Linked DNA regions of Macaca mulatta. The protein of the gene in region 1 binds, or shares a complex with, the protein of each later gene. Links are inferred from orthologs where the notes say so. Each region holds a gene or a part of one and is shown on either strand. Other genes may lie near its edges. The genes, in order: CEP290 and TMEM237.

Region 1 (10,599 bases):
TAATCCATCTAAGGATCTTAGAAATTTTACATTTCTGTATTCTTAACTGTGTGATGGTATTAGATAAATGTACTAAATACCTTATCCTAGCATATTCCAAATTATGACAATTAATGTTTTATGGAAAAAAGTGTGGGAACAGAAGTTCTTTGGCTATATACATTTGGAAAATGCTATATATAGTAAGTATGATTTGAGAAAGCTATATATGATAAAACCTCTGAGAGTACTGAATATATGTTAGGAATATTCAAAGGGGAGGAGGGATGTTGGGAATGAAGTTTTTTTTTATATATAGCAAACATGATAACCTCTCATGGAATTATGTTTCATGAAACAGTTTAGGAAATCCTGTTTTAGTATTTCATAAAAAGAAGAGATAGATGCTGAAAATGAATGGCTTTTTGGAAATCAAAAATTTTCTAGACCTTTTTGGGTCTAGAAATTTTGAATTTTGGCATTTATTTAGAAAGTGTACTTAATTGTTCCTGAAGTACCTTATCATTTCCTAGACTGAGAGAGATTGCTGATATTGCCAGAAGGCAAGTTGAAATTTTGAATGCACAACAACAATCTAGGGAAAAGGAAGTAGAGTCCCTCAGAATGCAACTGCTGGACTATCAGGTATGTGCAATATTGGCTCTTCTATATAGAATCCACTTTTTTCCTAAATTTACATTAGATGTTGGGAGCGATATGTTACACTTTTTGTTTACTTTGAGATAGGGTCTCATTCTGTCACCCAGGGTGGAATGCAGTGGCACATTCAAGGCTCACTGCAGCCTTCGCCACCCGGGCTCAGGTGATCCTCCCACCTCAGCCTCTTGGACAGCTGGGACTACAGGAACGTGCCACCACACCTGACTAATTTTTTATGCATATTTTGTAGAGACAGGGTTTCACTATGTTGCCTAGGGTGGTCTCGAACTCCTAGACTGAAAAGATCTACCCACCTTGGCTTCCCAAAATACTGGGATTACAGGTGTGGGCCATCATGCTGGGCCAGTGTTACATTTTTAATCAAAAGATATAGCAACCAGAGGCTGTTATTCTTGTTAGTTGTAACCTGATTAGAAAACTCTGTAATTTGAAGTATTGTTCAGTAATCCAGTACAGCATTTAAATGCCTATAGATGAATTACGCTGCTGATCAAAATTAGGACGCTGAGAAAAAGTACTAGGAAGTTATTAGTACATCTTTAATAACAATATTTTCTCTTGTATTTATATGTAACTTTTCACGTATTCTTACATTATGTATGTTGGGAATTATAAAAACGTACCCTTTGTCTGAATCAGTATTATGTTATTTGCAATGGAAGTTAAAAAAACAGTAGCAGCCAGGCACGGTGGCTCACAGCTGTAATCCGAGCACTCTGGGAGGCCCAGTCAGGCAGATCACGAGGTCAGGAGTTTGAGACCAGCCTGACCAATATGGTGAAACCCCGTCCGTACTAAAAATATAAAAATACAAAAATTCGCCAGGCATGGTGGCACATGCCTGTAATCTGAGCTTCCCAGGAGGCTGAGGCAGGAGAATTGCTTGAACCCGGGAGGCGGAAGTTGCAGTGAGCCGAAATCGCGCCATTGCACTCCAGTCTGGGTGACAGAGCGAGACTCCATCTCAAAAAAAAAAAAAAAAAAAAACCCAGTAACATACCCACTGTTATTTAGTTACATTTGGATTTTAAGTTTGTTTGATTCTAGGTTTTTTCTTTTACAATTCTTTGGTAATTATTTGTATTAAAGCAAAGTTACATTTTTGTAGATCTCATGTGCCACTGTGTTAACACTTTATTTAGTAAATTGTGATTTTTAAATCTGTGATAACCTTCATTGGAAAAATTTGAAACTTACTACAAATATATATTTTTTTAAATATTAGGCACAGTCTGATGAAAAGGCATTGATTGCCAAGTTGCACCAACATAATGTCTCTCTTCAACTTAGTGAGGCTACTGCTCTTGGTAAGTTGGAGTCAATTACGTCTAAACTGCAGAAGATGGAGGCCTACAATATGCGCTTAGAGCAGAAACTTGATGAAAAAGAACAGGCTCTCTATTATGCTCGTTTGGAGGGGAGAAACAGAGCAAAACATCTGCGCCAAACAATTCAGTCTCTACGACGACAGTTTAGTGGAGCTTTACCCTTGGCCCAACAGGAAAAGTTCTCTAAAACAATGATTCAGCTACAAAATGACAAACTTAAGATAATGCAAGAAATGAAAAATTCTCAACAAGAACATAGAAATATGGAGAACAAAACATTGGAGATGGAATTGAAATTAAAGGGCCTGGAAGAGTTAATAAGCACTTTAAAGGATACCAAAGGAGCCCAAAAGGTAAACATTTAAACTTGATTTTTTTTTTTAAGAGACAGGGTCTTGATCTGTTTCCCAGGCTGGAGTGTAGTGTTGCAAACATAGCTGGAACTCCTAGGCTCAACTGATTCTCCAGCCTCAACCTCCTGAGTAGTTGTAGCTGGGAGTACAGGGCACCACACCATACCTACCTATTTTTAAAAAAATTTAAAGTTTTTTTGTAGAGACAGGGTCTCACTTTGTCACCCAGGCTGGCCTCGAACTCCTGGCTTCAAGTAATCCTCCTGCTTTGGTCTCTCAAAGTGCTGAGATTACAGTCATGAGCCACTGTGCCCAGCCAATTTTAAATTCATTATCTTCAAAGAGTTACGTGATAATTTCTTAATATGTGCCTATATGAAAAATGCGTAAGATACAATTAAATTCCAATTATGATTCATTAATTTAGATTTTACAACTTAGCAGTGTTGGCTGTTTGAATGTCTATTATTTGTAAAAATAAAATTAGGCTTTTCTAACCAAAGATTTTAGTGGGAATGTTCAGATTGTATAATAGCAAAGAATTTTAAATACTGTAGACAAATTTCTATTAATTAAACACTAATTATTCTTAAACATTGTAGTAGTTATCAGTTGATTTCTACTGTTCATAATTATCTTTGATCTACAATTAGTGAGCCCACATTTATTTTTAATATGGTTTTATCTTCATTTAGAAATAATTAAATGAAAAGTAATTATCTTTCAACTACATCCTATTCGCTAGGCTAGAAACATTTAGGATTTCTGTTTTTGAAAGTGATATCAAAGTTTCAATGACCTGCTTATAGTCAGTGTTCAATAAACATATAACAGAAGAAAGTGAATATTAGTGATATCCATTCCAACATAATTTGAAGATTTTTATTGTAAAATCCCACATATTTGTAGAAATGTCTATGGAAATCCTAAATAAAATTTTGTCAGGTAGCTTGAGAAAAGATAACATTGTGTCTTGTTTTATTTTAGAATGCCCATTACTTTCAATTAAAATCATTATCATCAATGGAGGAATGTTATTTGTTGACATAGCATTTACATTTGTATATATAAATTGTAAATCTTAGGTAATCAACTGGCATATGAAAATAGAAGAACTTCGTCTTCAAGAACTTAAACTAAATCGAGAATTAGTCAAGGATAAAGAAGAAATAAAGTATTTGAATAATATAATTTCTGAATATGAACGTACAATCAGCAGTCTTGAAGAAGAAATTGTGCAGCAGAACAAGGTTTTATTTTATATTTATTTTGTTTTTTTCCTAAGATTTTAAGCAAGAATATTGCACTAGTGACTATGTTATTCTTCTAATTAAGTGTACTTTCCATTACTAATTGATTATGTAATAATTTGTTTTTTATTTTCTAAACTATTCTAAAAATTCATATTTATTTAATTTTTATAACAGTAGTCTTAATCTTAAAAAGAGCAATACATAAGCAACCTCATTTGGTAAGTTAATTTTTATTTTGGTATTGGTTATTTGACTTTTCACAGTTTCACGTTTCTACTGGCTCTCACTGATAGAGTAAGAAGGCAGCTTGTTATAGAATAAAGTATATGCTTCAGAGACAGATGAAATTCATCAAACATATGACTGTCTCAGAGATTGTTCCCTCTGCTTAAATTGTTCTTAGCCTAGATACCTTTGGTATTTACACTTTCAGTGCCCGCAAGTCTTGGCTTAAATGTCTTACCTTATCAGTGTGTCCTTCAACAGCCACCTAATATACAACAGTAAATCCTACTATCAAGATTCCCTTGAGATTAATTAACTTAATTTTTCTCCATAGCGCTTGTAACCTTCTGACATATTACCTACTTACTTTTTTATTGTTGTCTGTCTTTCCTTCACTAGAATGTAAGTTCCCTGGTGACAGGGATTTGGTTTTGTTTACTGCTATATTTGCACTGCCTAGAATGATGCTTGGCACATGATATATATCATTAAATATCTTTTGCATAGCTGGATGCATGGATGCATGGATGGATGGATGGATGGATGGATGGATGGATGGATGGAGAGATTGAAATCCTTACTTCACATCTGCCTTTCTCTGTGATCTTACACAAGTTACTTCACCTCTCTGAGTTTGTATTTTTTTCCACAAAAGGAAAATAATTACAGTATCTTCAATGTGTTGTGAGGATTACATAAGAAAATATATATAAAATGCCTGTTATGTGCCTGATGTCTTTGTATATATGTCTGACATAAATTGTCTTTCTTTTTAGTTTCATGAAGAAAGACAACTGGCCTGGGATCAAAGAGAAGTTGACCTGGAACGTCAACTAGACATTTTTGACCGTCAGCAAAATGAAATACTAAATGCAGCACAAAAGGTATGAATGATGAATCTTGTTTGCTACTCTGTAGCATAGACTAGAGGGTTAGCTCACAGAAATGATTCCTGTATCAGATGTAATTTTAATTGGTTGTTATATTGTCTATTTAAAATATGAGTGATTTAATCTATATTTTATCATACAGCTATAAATATTAATAGTTACTCTCAATGCTGCCACTGCTTTGTTAAAAAACATACTATTTGTTAATAGTTTGAAGAAGCTACAGGATCAATCCCTGACCCTAGTTTGCCCCTTCCAAATCAACTTGAGATGGCGCTAAGAAAAATTAAGGAGAATATTCGAATAATCCTAGAAACACGGGCAACTTGCAGATCACTAGAAGAGGTAATTAGAAGAATTTGCATTTTGATTATTACTTGGTATTATTTGGTATGTTTGGGGGGCTTTCTAAATAATATTTCTTTATGAGGACAATGCATAGAATGATGAATCTCTTGCTAATTTCACTGTTTTTCTATTCTCCTATAATGTTTCTAATAGCTGATAATGAACAGCAGATATAGTTAATTTGAATTCACTATTTAATTACTTCCTGTTACCTTTAGGTACACTGAATATGAAAGGAAACAAAAAGCATTTAATTGTAGCTCTATGAGCAGTATATTATCTTCCCTTATATGATCTCTTTATTCTTATTTTTTTGGTTTTCCTTTGAAGTGCATGTTATATAATCTATGAATCAGTTTTCAGTTCATTCCCTTTTATAAACTTCAGCCCTTTAAAGGGCTGAAGGTAAATTAGAAATTACTTTCTGTTTTAACCTAGTTCTTGAATTTGATTAGTAGGTGATCAAATCTGTCATCTGCATTAAATTATTCAGAAAATAATGTAAACTGAATATGATTTTCATTTTAGTTTTCATCTAAATATATTAACTACAAATACATTTAAAAATATACATAAAGGAGTTTTCAAGTAAAACTGTACATTTTTAAGTAAAACTTAGATCTTCTTCAGTAATTGTAAGATTTGTCATTTATGTGAATTGCCATTGAATTACTTAATTTAAAATACCCACCTTAATCCTCTTGAAGAGTAAAAATGTTTCTGATTTTTTCTCTTTTGTTTTAATAAGCTGCAGATTTTATAATAGTAATTTATTGACTTGGGCCACTAAAATTCCAGTTTTGTACTTAACTGACTTATAGATTAGTCTTCTAATGCTCTGCTAGTCAATGGACCAAAATAAAAGAAATAATTTATTACATATTCTTCCTAAATCTCATACCACCACACTTTTATAGTTCTTAACTGTAATATCTTGATAAAGTACCTTAATTAAATTTTATTTTCATCATAACAATGAAGTTTCTAACATATGTAATATTCTTATAAATAAGCATGCAAATAACTGTTGTCAATTAGAATTAGTTTAACCTTATTAAATATCAAATGGCTATTGTACATATGATGTGAAAAATAAAGTGAATTTTTTTTTTTTTTTGCTAATAACTAATCTAAAATTCAGATGAAGGAAAAAAAGATACTTTAATTATCTATTGTGATTTAATCATTGCAGAAACTGAAAGAGAAAGAATCTGCTTTAAGGTTAGCAGAACAAAATATACTGTCAAGAGACAAAGTAATCAATGAACTGAGGCTTCGATTGCCTGCCACTGCAGAAAGAGAAAAGCTCATAGCTGAGCTAGGGAGAAAAGAGATGGAACCAAAATCTCACCACACTTTGAAAATTGCTCATCAAACCATTGCAAACATGCAAGCAAGGTTAAATCAAAAAGAAGAAGTATTAAAGAAGTATCAACATCTTCTAGAAAAAGCCAGAGAGGTATTTTATTATGAGTTATACTGTTTCATGTATTAGTTTTTTTAAGCAAATGCTAAATATTTTACCTTAAAGTGGTAGTTATTTTCTTGCTTTCAAATGATTCTATTTAAGAACTGTGACTTGCATGTGATTGGATTACACCTCTATCAGTAAAACTGGCAGTTTGTGTAAATGTATCTCTCTTATACACTGACTAACTAAACCAGGAGTAGCTATCATGGTGAAATCACATGATTTTGAAAAATATTTTAATTTAGTTTATAGGTGAGGGTTGAGGCAATAGGGGGGAATGAAATATATCACACTGGTAATCAGTAGAAATCAGATTTGTTAGAACTTTGTGGGGGAAAGCTGACATTTAATTTTTTCTAGAAATAAGTTAAAAGATGATAGATACGTGTTATTCTAATGTTCAGAATAAATTATGAACTGAGGCTGGGCCTGTCAACTTGAACACTGTGCGAGGGAACATGCCTACCGGTCTAAATACATACATATATGGAGATACTGTTTCTTCCTCATCTCGAAGGAATTTTAGAAGATTAAAGAGAAAATATATAAGGTCTTCAAAATGTGAATTTATTTTAATCACAATTTAAGATATAGTTTTGATTTTCTTTAAAACAGGAGCAAAGAGAAATTGTGAAGAAACATGAGGAAGACCTTCATATTCTTCATCACAAATTAGAACTACAGGCTGATAGTTCACTAAATAAATTCAAACAAACAGCTTGGGTAAGATTCTAAGAACTTTGTTCCATTCTTTATTGATTTTTAGACCAAATACATTAAAATTCAGTTATCTTCTCCTTTTTTGGAATACAAGTTACGCTTTTTGTTGCCAAAGTAATCTTCTGAAAATGTAGCTCTGATCATTCTTCCTCCTGTAGCTCATCACTGTTCACAAAATTATATTTATACTCCTTACCCATATACTCAATCTTCTATGAACTTACCTGCCTTTCTTTTCAAATTCTATTCACTATAAGTTTACCTATATTTAACTTCCGGAATTCAGCTCATATTTGCCTCTTTTGACCATTCTGTTCCATATGTATGAAATGATGTGTCTTTCATCTTTTAATGTATAACCTTAGCATATTTGAGCCTTACTTCATTAATTCAGTCAACATTTATTGATCTCCTGCTACATGTAGACACTTTGTTAGCTATTGTAAATACAAAGAATAAGGTCTATATTTCCTGTCTTCTTTAAGCCTTCATTATCTGTTAAATCATTAAATTTTAGATTAGATATTGTATTTTGATCATTTGAAGAACCAATTTAAAAATATAGAATAAGTATGGCATTGAAATATACATGCCTGTTTGCTAATATATTCATATTTTATAGGATTTAATGAAACAGTCTCCCACTCCAGTTCCTACCAACAAGCATTTTATTCGTCTGGCTGAGATGGAGCAGACAGTAGCAGAACAAGATGACTCTCTCTCCTCACTCTTGATCAAACTAAAGAAAGTGTCACAAGATTTAGAGAGACAAAGAGAAATCACTGAATTAAAAGTAAAAGAATTTGAAAATATCAAATTACGGTAAGTCTTCAAAATGTATTGTAAAAATAGGCAAATGATAATAATGATATAATGAAGATAAACATAAATGTTTGCTATGCTAGGCACTGTTCTAAGACTTTTAAGTATATTGTCTCATTTTTATCCTCAGGTCTACTGATTACATATGTTATCATTTTCCCCATTTTATAGAGAGGATATGACCTCAGGAATGCTTAATAGCATGCCTGGGAGTAGATGGGAAAGCCATAATTTGAAACTAGTCAGTCTGACTCAAAAGCCAATACAAATTCTTTTCCAGAATCTCATTTTTACCTTATTCAAACCTCAGTTTCATCTTATTTATTTATTTATTTTTATTGTTTTATTTATTTATTTATTTTTTAGAAAAGTCTGGCTCTATTGCCTAGGCTGGAGTGTAGTGGCATAATCTCGGCTCACTGCAACCTTGACCTTCTGGGCTCAAGCTATCTTCCCACCTCAGCCTCCAGAGTAGCTGGCACTACAGGCAGGTGCCACCACACCTGGGTAGTTTTTTGTATTTTTGTGGAGACAGGGTTTCTCCATGTTGCCCAGGCTGGTCTCGAACTCGTGAGTTCAAGTGATCCGCCCACTTCGGCCTCCCAAAGTGCTGGGATTACAGGCCTGAGTCACTGCACTCAGCCTCATCATCTTTAAAATGGAAATAGCAGTACTTACCCTGGCCCTTTCAGGGTGGTTATATGAAGGTCAAATTATACCATGTATGAAAGTAATTTGAAAACTGTCAAATAACATACAGATAAAAAGCTTTTGTTTGCACACTTATAAGAGTGTCTGGCATATAATAGAGATTCTAACATTGTTCAACCAATTTATCAGAACATAGATTTTAAGCTCAAAATAGGTTTATAGTTTCGTAGTTTCTAAACATTGTAGTATTATCTGTATGGGCCTAAATTTTATTATCTGAGAAAACATGAGAAAGTTGAACTACTTGACTTATAATTCCATTTCAGCTCTCAAGCCCCTATTAGAGCCTTTGATTCTTTACACTCTTATTCAAATGCCTATGACAGAATTAACACTATTTTTGCTTTGCTAGGGAGCTGCCACTGTTAAGAAATTACTTTCTAAAAGAAGGAAAATTGGCAGCAGCATATGTGTATTTTCAGTCTCTTTTCCTTGCTCTATTAAATTTTGTACATGAGATGTTATTTTTGGTCTAGTAAATTTCTGTCATGTTTTGGAGTATAAAATGACTTGTGCTTTTGCATCCAATTTGTGGGTGTAGAAAATCATAATCTTTTGAAATACCTTATATAATTTTTTTTTCCACATGAAATACTTGAAGTTATTGTTGTGTACCTTATCATGTCATTGTAGCCCAAAATTGTACTTGTGTTCTCTGTGTGCCTATTTTGATATATATTAGGAAATTATGGATCCGTATGATTACTTAAGTAAAACCTGATATTTTCACAATTTGATGATGACTCTTTAAAGTTAGACTTAAGTTTTGCCAAAAGCAAGAAGCCTCAAAGAATAACATTTGTTCATGTGTTAATGCTATCTCCCTCTTACTGGTCAGAACCTCAGTACGGATGCAGTGTCCATATGCACAACAATATATTAATTCAGTTTAACAGACTTAATGCTGAATGAGCAATAAGATTAATTGAATTAACTAAATCTTTTAATACTATCCACTTCCATATATATATATAGTTACAGATACAATGCTAGTGAATTTGTACCATAAACAAATAAATAATACATGTGATTTCTGTGAAAATTTATATTAGTCTTTTCAATATGTCAATATAGGGCAGTATTTCTCAAATATAGAGGATCAGTTTTTCACAGTTGTACCTCTTGGGGACATTTGACGATGTCTGGAGACATTTTTGATTGTCATGGCTAGGGGGTGCTACTGATATGTAGTGGGTAGAATCAAAAGATGCTACTAATCATCCTATCATACACAAGGCAACCCCACCAACAACAAAGAATCATTCACTCAAAAATGTTACTAGTAGTGTGGTTAGGAAACTATCATATAGAGGAAGCAGTCAAATTTTACAAGAGCCATAGTATCTAAAATGCCCTTTTGTTCATTCTCTATATTATTTGATTAGAGTCACAAAATAATTTGATAAGATTGTTGCCAAAAATATTAGAAACTAGAAGAAAAACGTGTTGTTAAGTTAAAGAGTAGTTAAGTGAAATAAAGAATTACTCTTCTCTGGATTTGGCTGCCTGCATCAAGATTTAGATTGTAAGGATAGTTAGGACTGAACATTTGCCCTGTGTGAAATTTGTATTAATCAAGGTATTAATTGCAGCAACCACTCTATTAATTACATGTTTTTGGCCAGGTGCGGTGGCTCATGCCTCTAATCCCAGCAGTTTGGGTTTATCAGCCGAGGCGGGCTTATCACCTGAGCTCATGCGTTCAAACTGGCCTGGCCAACATAGTGAAACCCCATCTCTGCTAAAAATACAAAAATTTTGGGGGCCTGATGGTGCACACCTGTAGTCCCAGCTACTCAGGAGGCTGAGGCAAAAATA
Region 2 (10,599 bases), on another chromosome or scaffold:
AGTAAGAAGCAACTTTTTAGTTACTTCTAGGTAAAAATTTTACGTTATAAAATTCTTCAAACAGAAGATACATTCCCTTTTTATTGGCCATGATGTAAAGCATCTTTAAAGCTAAATTATAATTATTACATGATACTCAATCACTAAGCCAGTTTCAGAAAAGATAAATTTCATATTTCAATTTATTCAGTAAGGGGAGGTCAAAAATGAAGGCTTTTTTCCCCTTCTACCATATTCACTAAATTTATGTTTAAACTTGATATATATTTTATAACACTATTTAAGTTATGGCTTTTTCTCAACCAGTGCTTTTTTAAGATAATAGTTATAAATACAACTGTTTTGAGAAAATAGGAAATAAACACTTTCACTTGCTGGTTTCTAGTTCATTATTCCCTTTGTCATTAAGATGATAATGCTATACAAATTAATATTTGGACATAAATAACAAATACAATTTTAACATTTTTCATAGTATTGAGAGATGTTTCAGTATTATATAATCAAAAAAAATCTATTACAAATACACATGTATACATCTTATAAAAATACATTTAAAAACAAAAGTGGGACAAATACTGAGTCACTATTCTTCCAAAGGTTAGCTGGTATTATGAAGAGGCTTTGATTTCTTTATCTTTATCAGGATATTCTTCCACCTCTGAGGAGAACATTAACTCTGGAGAAGAAAATGAACAGATCATAAAATTGTTTCCCAGTGCCTCCAACAGAGTTGTATAGCTTATTTATAGTCTTTTAAAAATTGACATAGAAAGCCCTCAATAGATTTCTTGACAGTGAAATCTGATTTCAAAGGTAAGCTGATAACAAATGTACAAGTTTTACATTTTAAAATATTTAAATTTTAAATTATGAACCCCTTAAAAGTAAAACATAATAGGGACAATATACAAAATCCTACCTGGAAATTTAAGTCACTTAGATAATCAAAGATCATTAAACAGCTAAAAGGTCTAATTCTACAGTGATGAGATCATCTAAAATATAGGGGACAGATACAGAGGAAGGACCTAGAACTAACAAGAGATATGTGCCAGGATAGTTTAAATGGGTCATCCCATTTCATCATCAAAACAACCCAATAAGCCAGGTATTATCACTCATTTTATACTTACTTTTAAAATCTACATGTTGTATGACTAACATGGCCTTAAAAGAACAGGATTCTGGAAATACTAAGTAACACACACTTTATGATTTAGACTGAATACTGCAAAATCCAGATGCAGTTTTGATGCCAACCACAATGTAGAATGTTATTAGCTGACATTTTCTACATTTAAACTATTACTTAGCATAGATGTTGGCGAAATTCTCCATGCTAAGGCTTCTGAGGCAGATGGGTTGTAAATAGTTGATCAAATCAAAAATAAAGTAATAACCAAGGTCGAGAAAATATCCATAAAAGATGTTCAAGGGTCAAACTGTTGAACACTGCCCAAGGAAACACAATTTACAATACAAATACTAAAAAGTTCCTCAAGTAGCATAAAAGTTTAGCAGTTCGCTAATATGATGATTCTTCTTCAGGTGTTCCAGAAGGGGTCTGGGAACTAGAGATGAGTGAATCACTGCACACTGAGCATGTTAAAAGTAAGAGTACTAAACACTGTGTTAGACAATGAAGAGTTACGAATTTGTACCAAATAGAGGAGGTAAGAATAATTAACTTGAGTATGTGTCTGACAGAAAGGCTATGTAGACGAAGCATGATTTATTTCAAAATTAAGAGATACTTTCATCAGCAGGAAACTAAGAGAAGTAAAGAGCAAAGACTTTTTCTAAATTACTTGAAGGGTTCCAAGAGAAGAAATACCTCCTGAATATGCACAAGGGCCACAGACGCCCCTCACTAAGTAGTTCCAGACTCCAGCCCTCCTAGGCACTCCTCCCTGCTTCTCTTGGCATTCTGTTACACCACTTTATTTTCTCTCTGCTTGTATTATTTTAATTTAAATGTGTCTTTGTGATTGGAATATTATAAGCTATACATATTAAAAGGAGGTTTATAAAACCATTATAGAAGATTTCAGGATATTCTTATACTATTTTTTTCTTTAATACCTTCACTAAGATCCATGCCTGGCCTATAAGACAAAAATAGCCAAGATAATCCAACCAGCAGAGCCACCACGAGATTCACCACAATCCATGGCTGGAGAATCTGTTCCTCAATTCCTGCTTCCCTAAAAAGGTAGAAATACTCATTAGAAGTACCTTCAGTTTGGTTCATATATACAAATATATCTATTTTAGGAACTTCAAGAAAAAACAGCAGTCATCTCCTAGAGAAATAACAAGTAAAGCGTGAAAGAAAATATAATTTCCCTGTAAAATATACCACATATATAATGAGAACAAGGGTTCAAAGGTTAAACTCTAAACAGATCTGCTCTATACATTCATATAAATGCAACGTTAGTATTCCCAAGAAAATTTTCTAAAAGTTTTCCTTCCAACTACCATGACATTACTCATCAATAAAGTATATTTGCTTTTTCTTTACCTAATGTCCCTAGCCACTCTCTCAAAAAAGACTACTTTTGGATGCCACATTCAGCATTTGGGGGAAAAAAAAAGATTGCTTCTCTGAGTTTAATGAACTAGAATCTCAGCTATCCTGTCAACTTCATGGCTGGCCACCGATCTGCAGATGTTGGCTCTCCCTATTCTGCTCTTTCTAGCATTGCTTGGTTTTCTGAATCTATCCCAGCTACTCACTCCTATCACTGTTCTGGGGTATGAAACTCTCTGATAGTGGGTAAGAATGCAGGGCTCCTTCCGTCCATCATATGATGACTTATTGTAAAACTATAACTTGGCTGGGCGCAGTGGCTCACACCTATAATCCCAATACTCTGGGAGGCCAAGGCAGGTGGATCACCTGAGATGAGAAGTTTAAGACCAGCCTGGCCAACATGGTGAAACCCCATTTCTATAAAAATACAAAAATTAGCCAGGCGGGTGCCTAAGTAATCCCAGCTACTCGGGAGGCTAAGGCTGCAGAATCGCTTGAACCCAGGAGGCGGTGGTTGCAGTGAGCCGAGATAGAGCCATTGCACTCCAGCCTGGGTGACAAAGCGAGACTCCATCTTAAAAAACAACAACAACAACAACAGCAACAAACAAGAAAAAACTATAACTTGAAGATCTAAAACAGATTTTTAAAAGGAAGATATTTCTTTAAAAATGCAGGTGAATATAACAATAGTTACCCATTAACCAAAGGAATAAGTATTTTCTTGCCATAGATTTGGAAACAAAAACAGAGCCTTCATTATTTGTAGATGAAAAAGAATGGAAGGATACGAAAAATTGCTGTTATTGCCATTAACAATTGCTAATGTCATTGTGAATTCTTACCAGAGGCTACCATTAACAGAAGAAGGTGTGTAAAGGTGGATTCTGTCACTTGTCATTTGCTGACTCAGAGATAGTATAAGAGCAGTAAAGTACACTGAAAAAAAGATAAATGAAATTACTAATAATTTTTAACAACCTGGTTTATTTTGAATTTATAGATTAATATCGAAAATAATCTGTACTTTGGTGACTGATATAAAAGAAATTTATTTTACCAAATAAACATATTTCAATAGGCCAGATATCCTTATATAAATTTTTGAGAACAACAGGTGCAGAAGGATCTTTTGAGACATTCACTGTTTCATCATTAGAACTGACAAGAACCTAGATCTTTTGAAAAGTTAAATGACTTGCTCAAGGTCCTAAAATTAGTTTTATTAATATTCTCAAAACTTAGAACAAAATGCATTCCAAATAATCAGAAAGATATAAAATACTGTTTGTTATTAAAAGGCTGTACCATCTGAATCTGTTTAATGTCAAGTAGAAAATACAAAAGTTAAAAAGTAAGTAATATAGTACAATAAATTAAGCTTTTCAAAGTTATTCAGATGAACCTCTATTGAAAAATAATTCTATCAACATTATGCCTATTATGTTTCTAATTACAAATTCACTGACCATCTATAGGTAATGTTTATAAGGAGCAGTAATACAACTTTAAAAAAAAAATTAACATTTTTCCTGGTTCAAAATTATGGTATAACTCAAGTATTACACAGTTACCAAGTTAAACTGTTTACTCACAGAAAGATGCTAAAGTTGTAGGATCCAGGGCCAAAAAATTTCGGATTGCTACTGACATTTTAGCAAAGTCAATCCTAGAAAATATAAAAGCTTCTTGTCACAGTGCAGTTGTAAACTTTTTAACAAAACTTTACTTTCTTGACAATAGTTTTTTCCTTCTCTATTCTAATGCTACCACATATACTATTACTAGGTTTTAAGTAGCTACAGTGTATATATAACACATATGACAAAATTATCTTATTTACAAAGGCCACATAAAACATCTAACTAGACTACTTTGGACAACATTCCTTTGGGGTTAAGACATTCTAAAGAAACTTAAACTTGATAAACAAAATTTCATTAGTTTCTACCTCTTTCTATTGCCCATATCATTAGGCTCTAATTAGGTGGGTTTTTTTTTTTTAAACGGGTTAAATTGTGTTCCCAAAAAGATATGTTGAACTAACCTGGAGTACTTATGAATTGACCTTATTTGGAAGCAGGGTCTTTGCAGATGTAATAAAGTTAAGATAAGGTCATTAGGATGAACCCTAATCCAGTATGACTGGTGTCCTTATTAGAAGAGATATAGATACAGAGATACACAGGGGTAAAGCGCTGTGTGACGATAGAGGCAAATATTGGAATGATGCATCTACAGCCAAGGATTGTCAGCAACCACTGGAAGTGAGGGGAAGGGCATGAAACAGACTCTCCCTCAGAGCCCTCGAAAAAGAATTCAACCCTGGCCACATCCTGATTGCAGACTGCTCACCTCCAGACCCGCGAGAGAATAAATGTGCTGTTTTCAGCCAGCCAGTGTGTGGTACTTTGTTACAGCAGTGCTGGGAGACAAATACAAATGCTCTGAGTCTTACCTATACCTGATTTAGATGATATTTAGGAACTTCTGAGTTGACTACATTTGGATGAAATTTTGGACTTATGAACTGATGCTGGAATGGGTGAAGTCTTTTGGGAATATTTTGTTTACAACAGTCTCATCCCCTCAAAAAAGAACAGAAGTAGACTGGCCTTAAAACTTTTTGAAGTAATATTGATACTCTATAATTCTATTTTGAAAACTGTCATGGTCAGTGACACATTTTGCTCAGCATTTCCTTCTGAAGAAGTTAGACAGATCTGGAGTCACAGGCATTACCTGTCAAAAGCTGAAATTGTACTCAGAGCCAAAAGCAAGTACAGAAGACTCTGGAATGGATACGCTAGAGTCTTGTATTGTTGCAGAAGGTTTGAGAGGTTGGATAGCTGATCTCCTGCTAGAACATATATCACAACAATATTCCACACAGCACAGCCAGCCAAGAATCCATGAGAAAAGAGACCAATCATCCTGAATGGTAAAGGGTTTGATTATTATACATGAATTACTAAAGTAAAAAGCTAAAACATGTTTAAAATCTCTTCATATACAAGAATAAAATTCAACATTTCATGACAAGTAAAAGCAAGCTCTTTCTTTTTAGTTACACTGATAGGTAGATCATTCAATTCCAATAGGATGTTTAAAAAATACACCTACCGGCCGGGCGCGGTGGCTCAAGCCTGTAATCCCAGCACTTTGGGAGGCCGAGACGGGCGGATCACGAGGTCAGGAGATCAAGACCATCCTGGTTAACATGGTGAAACCCCGTCTCTACTAAAAAATACAAAAAACTAGCCGGGCGAGGTGGCGGGCGTCTCTAGTCCCAGCTACTCGGGAGGCTGAGACGAGAATGGAGTAAACCCGGGAGGTGGAGCTTGCAGTGAGCTGAGATCCGGCCACTGCACTCCAGCCTGGGCTACAGAGCGAGACTCCGTCTCAAAAAAAAAAAAAAAAAAAAAATACACCTACCTACCATTTTAAGTGGTCATTTCGTTAACCATATTGAACAACCAATAGGCTATTTTTTTCTTTAATTACGGAACTCAGTTAACATTTGTTTTAAGAAAAGTCCAACAAAAGCAGCCACCTGAAAGCCCGGTGCACCGTAAGTGCCACATCTCTGGTGGTCCAGGAAGGCTTCATGTCCATTGACACATCTATGTTTTCTGTGGTCTTTATCAACTCTGAACGGTCAGCAGCCTGGAATCTCCCTAAGAACACATAATGTAATTACTAACAACTAGGGAGAGAGAACCCTGGTAGCCCTTTCTTTTTTTCTTTTTTTTTTTTTTTTTTTTTTTAATTCCACACTCAGGAAGCTGCAAACTAAGACTGAAATATTGCTGTTCTATCTGAAAATTCTCCTTGACTCAGCACCTATTTCAGAAAGATCTTTACTTTGGGTTCCTTAAACATAATTTTTCATCTTGAAGAAAAATAAGCAATGTCAGTGTATTTTCTTCTCAATCCAAAGTGAAGTAACAATTTCAGAAATCAATTATATTTAATAAAAAATAATGAACTTTCAACCAGAATAAAGTCTAGAAACCTTTAACATGACCTAGTCTACAAAATTCTAATTTAGAGACTTTAGAAGTATTAAAGTTTATATGCCTATACTACCAAGGTAAGTCAATATTTGAAAACTACTTTAAATTTCTTAGAAAAAGATGTCAGGATGTGTAGCATGGCTTTCTGGGATGACAGGAAAGAAATGGGCTGCTTCATAAATTTCTCTTTAGAACATTCCTGTGAAGAACATCAGTTCAAGAGTCAGCACTGCAATATTGTATGAGCAGGGCTTTAGCCTTTTTACTGTTGATTCAGAGGCTCCTTCCTGTATATCTAGTAATCCACAAATAGACATCAGGAAGCAGGAAAGGTTCCATTTCAATTATCCTCACCAAACCCAGTTCGCAGGTGTTTTGGAGGATGAAAGACAGGGGTGTGACAATTTTCCCTAAGAAAAGACAACTTCTGGGCAGACAGTAGAACCACTGGTGCCTTTTATGGCCAGTTATGGCCAGTTACTCTAGCAGGGAAATTTCTATGCTAAGTGAAATAAGAATAAAAATGAGGATTAAGTGATACTGCTTGAAAAAGAACTGGAGTAAATTAAATGGCCACATGGTAGATGAATAAAACCACATGACTAGAAGTCATAAAACCACAGTTCAAGTCCCAGTTCCACCCTAACCAACTGTGAGACACTGGGTAAGTCAGCCAGAGACCACAGGTTTCTTATTGGCCAAGAACTGCAAGATCCTTTAGATGGGATCTTATGAAGTAGAGTTCTAAAACAATGTAGACAAAATCTAAATTGTAAATTTTAAGGACTAACCTTTATGTTTTAGATGAGTTCTTTAGGCAGCATATCCTTAACATATCCATGGTAGTATACAGTCATGATCACGCTTTGAGTAGGTTTTTCTTAAACACTGTGTTATAGACTGAATGTGTCCCCCAAAAATTCATATGTTGAAGCCCTAACCCCCCAGTGAGTGTGAGGTCACTGGGAGGTAATTAGATTTTGATGAAGTCATGAGGACGAAGCTCCCATGATGAGACTAGTGTCTTTTTAAGCAGAGGAAGACACACCAGAACTCTCTCTGCCACATGACAACACAGTGGCAGCCACTGGCAAGCCAGGAAGGGGCCTTCTCCAGTAACCGGATCTGCTGGAACCTTGTCTTGGACGTCCTAGCTTTAGGAACGGTGAGAAATAAATGTCTGTGGTTTAAGTCACTCAGTCCGTGGTATTTTGTTATAGCAGCCTGAGCTAAAATACACTACAAACCTAGTCTCGTAGCCAGTATACATTATACAATGTCAGCACTATTTTCCAAAAGAATATACAGCTATAATGTTGTATTTCTTATTTAATATGATAGTATCATCATGTATTTTCTCTCTAATTTTCAGATGTAGAATTTATATCATTATCTGTCCCACCACAACTACTACCAATTGCAGGAAGCTGGTAAAGTACAAGAAAGAATAAAGAATCAGGCAGGGGTGGGGAAGATCTTTACATTACCCATAACCCCATAAATCCAGAAACAACCAGCATTAATATTTGAGCCTATTTCCTTCAAGTCTTTTGTCCTATGTATAGATCAAACTCTGTGTGTGTGTACACATGTGTACATGCTCTTTTATCAGAATCTTTCCATAAAATGAAAAATTCTCCCTAAACATGATATTTAATGGTGAAGAATATTATTATATAGATACACCACAACTTACTGAAATCATTCCTCTCCTATTTCACATTTAGGTTGTTTCCAGTTTTTCACTCTCATGAATCATAGCATGATGACTAGTTTTGTGTATAAATTGTTGTACATAGTTTTGCTTAATTCCTTAATTCAGATTTCCAGAAGTATAAAGGATATCCTTGTACAATTTTTAAGAGTTCATATTCTAAAACAAGGCATCTACTTACGGCTTTTTTCCACAAATACTTTGCCTACAGGCTGGCTAATGCCAGTGGGTGCAGTGAATACAGACTGCTGTTCCAGAGTAGTTTGCTCATCAGTGATAATGTCTTCATCTTCTACTCCTAGCTCATTGGCATACTGTAATTCTGCTGGTTGGGTTTTCCTGTAATAAAGAAGTATATATGAAAAATGGATGATTATTGAATACTCACAGACTTACATACGGAACTAGCTATAAATATAATGGAAAGAGCCCTGGACTTGGAGTTAAGAAATTTGATTTTTACTCAAATAAATCTGTTATTAACTATTATGTGCAGCAAGTCACTTACATTTCTGAGGGCTTCAGTTTTCTCATTTGAAAATTGAAGTGACTGAACTAATCTGTAAGCTTCTTTCCAAATTTAAAATTGTATGATTCTCTGTAGACACTGATATGATTTAGCTATGTCCCCACCCAAAATTTCATGTTAAATTGTAAGAATCCCCACCTGTCAAGGGACTGTTCTGGTGATAGTGAGTTCTCAGGAGATCTGATCATTTTGTAAGGGGCTTCCCCCTTCACTCAGCTCTAATTCTTCTCCTTCCTGCTGCCCTGTGAAGAAGGGCATGTTTGCTTCACCTTCCACCATGATTGTAAGTTTCCTGAGGCCCCCCCAGTCATGCTGAACTGTGAGCCAATTAAACCTCTTTCCTTTATAAATTACCCAGTCTCAGGTATGTCTTTATTAGTGTTGTGAGAACGGACTAACACAGACATTGATCACTATTTGTAGGTTCATTTTCAAATACAAACAATAGTGCTATATATATGCCTTCCAGTGTTATTTCTTTAAAGTATACTTTACTCATTTTATCTTAATGCTAAAACACAGTTTTACTTATTGCTGAGATAATCATAGTTTGAATTCTGTTAACATAAGAAAATAAATCATAATAGCCTATTTCATTATCTTTAATTTTTAAATATCCTTAATGTTTAATTTTGCTACTTATATATTCTATTTGTGTTCCTCTTTTTAAGAGATGGCTCTGAAGTTTTTTTATTTAAGTACAATCTTAATTTTTTAAATTTTCTCAGTGGTTTACTCTTCTCAAATTTATCATTAGATTGGTTTAACTGATTTTTTGTAATAATACTTACCCTAGAGGTACACAAATACAAGTATGTAATAAGACTTAATGAGAAGCTACTGTCTGGGAACTCCAAACAAAGCATCAGGGTAATCCTGGAGAATAGTTAGAAAAATAAATTCTTACTTTGTCTTCCTCCGAGGTTTTTGAATAACTGCCTCCTCAGCTGGCTCTGCATCAATACCATTTTCATTTCGTAATAAAGATGAACTAGATGCCTTATTTTGAGTGGAGGAAATCTCCAATTCTGAAAACAAATAAATTTAACTTTTCAAATAACTAAAACAGAAAAAGAAAAGTAATATACAAGACTTGTATAAGAGAAAAGAACTTCAAGAATTTTAATTGGGCAAAAATATTTTCACTATCTTACAAATTTTTAATGTCTAAAAAATGTTATACTTCTAAACTTCTAATGTAAAAATTGAAATTGTAATGCCAAACAATATGAAAAAAAATTAAGTAACCCAACACCCAGGCTGTGTTGAAGATTCCCAAGATTATCTCCAGGTTCGCTGACTTTCTAGAAGTGCTCACAGGACTTGGAAATCATCACACTCACAATTATGGTATACTACAGCAAATGAATATAAAGCAAAATCAGCAAAAGGAAAAAGCACATGGACCAAGTCCAGAGGAAACCAAGTACAAGCTTCCAAGAGTCCTCTATCAGTGGAGTCAAATAGGATGCACTAATCTCTCCAGTAAAGAGTTGTGACAACACATGTGACACATGTTCTACAAGGGAAGTTCATCAGAGACAGTATCCAAGGTTAGGGGCTAGTCACATAAGCTTAGCACATACCAAAATTCTGGATGCCCAGAAGGGAAGCAGATGTTCAGCAAAAATCACTTTGTATGCACAAATGCACAGTGAGCCACCTTATAATTTAGGGAAAGTTTTCTATCAGTGTAGGCAGCTGTTTATTATCCAAGTTCCCAGATGCCAGCTAAGGGCCAATCTTATCAGCAGGCCTTTCCAAGGATAGCAGTCTCAGGTCTGCTATATTAACTCTTTTC

What was found.
Region 2: CEP290 (region 1) and TMEM237 share a complex: the UniProt entries of both Homo sapiens proteins name them as parts of the tectonic-like complex. The link is inferred for Macaca mulatta from reciprocal best matches to the Homo sapiens genes CEP290 and TMEM237.

What each region holds. Positions count from the first base shown.
Region 1 is NC_133416.1:95,327,701-95,338,299, reverse strand, and holds part of CEP290 (centrosomal protein of 290 kDa), read left to right. Parts: intron 1-512; coding exon 513-624; intron 625-1,885; coding exon 1,886-2,341; intron 2,342-3,426; coding exon 3,427-3,591; intron 3,592-4,595; coding exon 4,596-4,703; intron 4,704-4,919; coding exon 4,920-5,054; intron 5,055-6,249; coding exon 6,250-6,516; intron 6,517-7,143; coding exon 7,144-7,251; intron 7,252-7,870; coding exon 7,871-8,070; intron 8,071-10,599. UniProt on the Homo sapiens protein: Involved in early and late steps in cilia formation. Its association with CCP110 is required for inhibition of primary cilia formation by CCP110.
Region 2 is NC_133417.1:106,771,801-106,782,399, forward strand, and holds part of TMEM237 (transmembrane protein 237), read right to left. Parts: intron 9,827-10,599; coding exon 9,706-9,826; intron 8,609-9,705; coding exon 8,451-8,608; intron 6,217-8,450; coding exon 6,093-6,216; intron 5,474-6,092; coding exon 5,282-5,473; intron 4,209-5,281; coding exon 4,135-4,208; intron 3,479-4,134; coding exon 3,385-3,478; intron 2,208-3,384; coding exon 2,086-2,207; intron 680-2,085; coding exon 612-679; 3' UTR 1-611. UniProt on the Homo sapiens protein: Component of the transition zone in primary cilia. Required for ciliogenesis.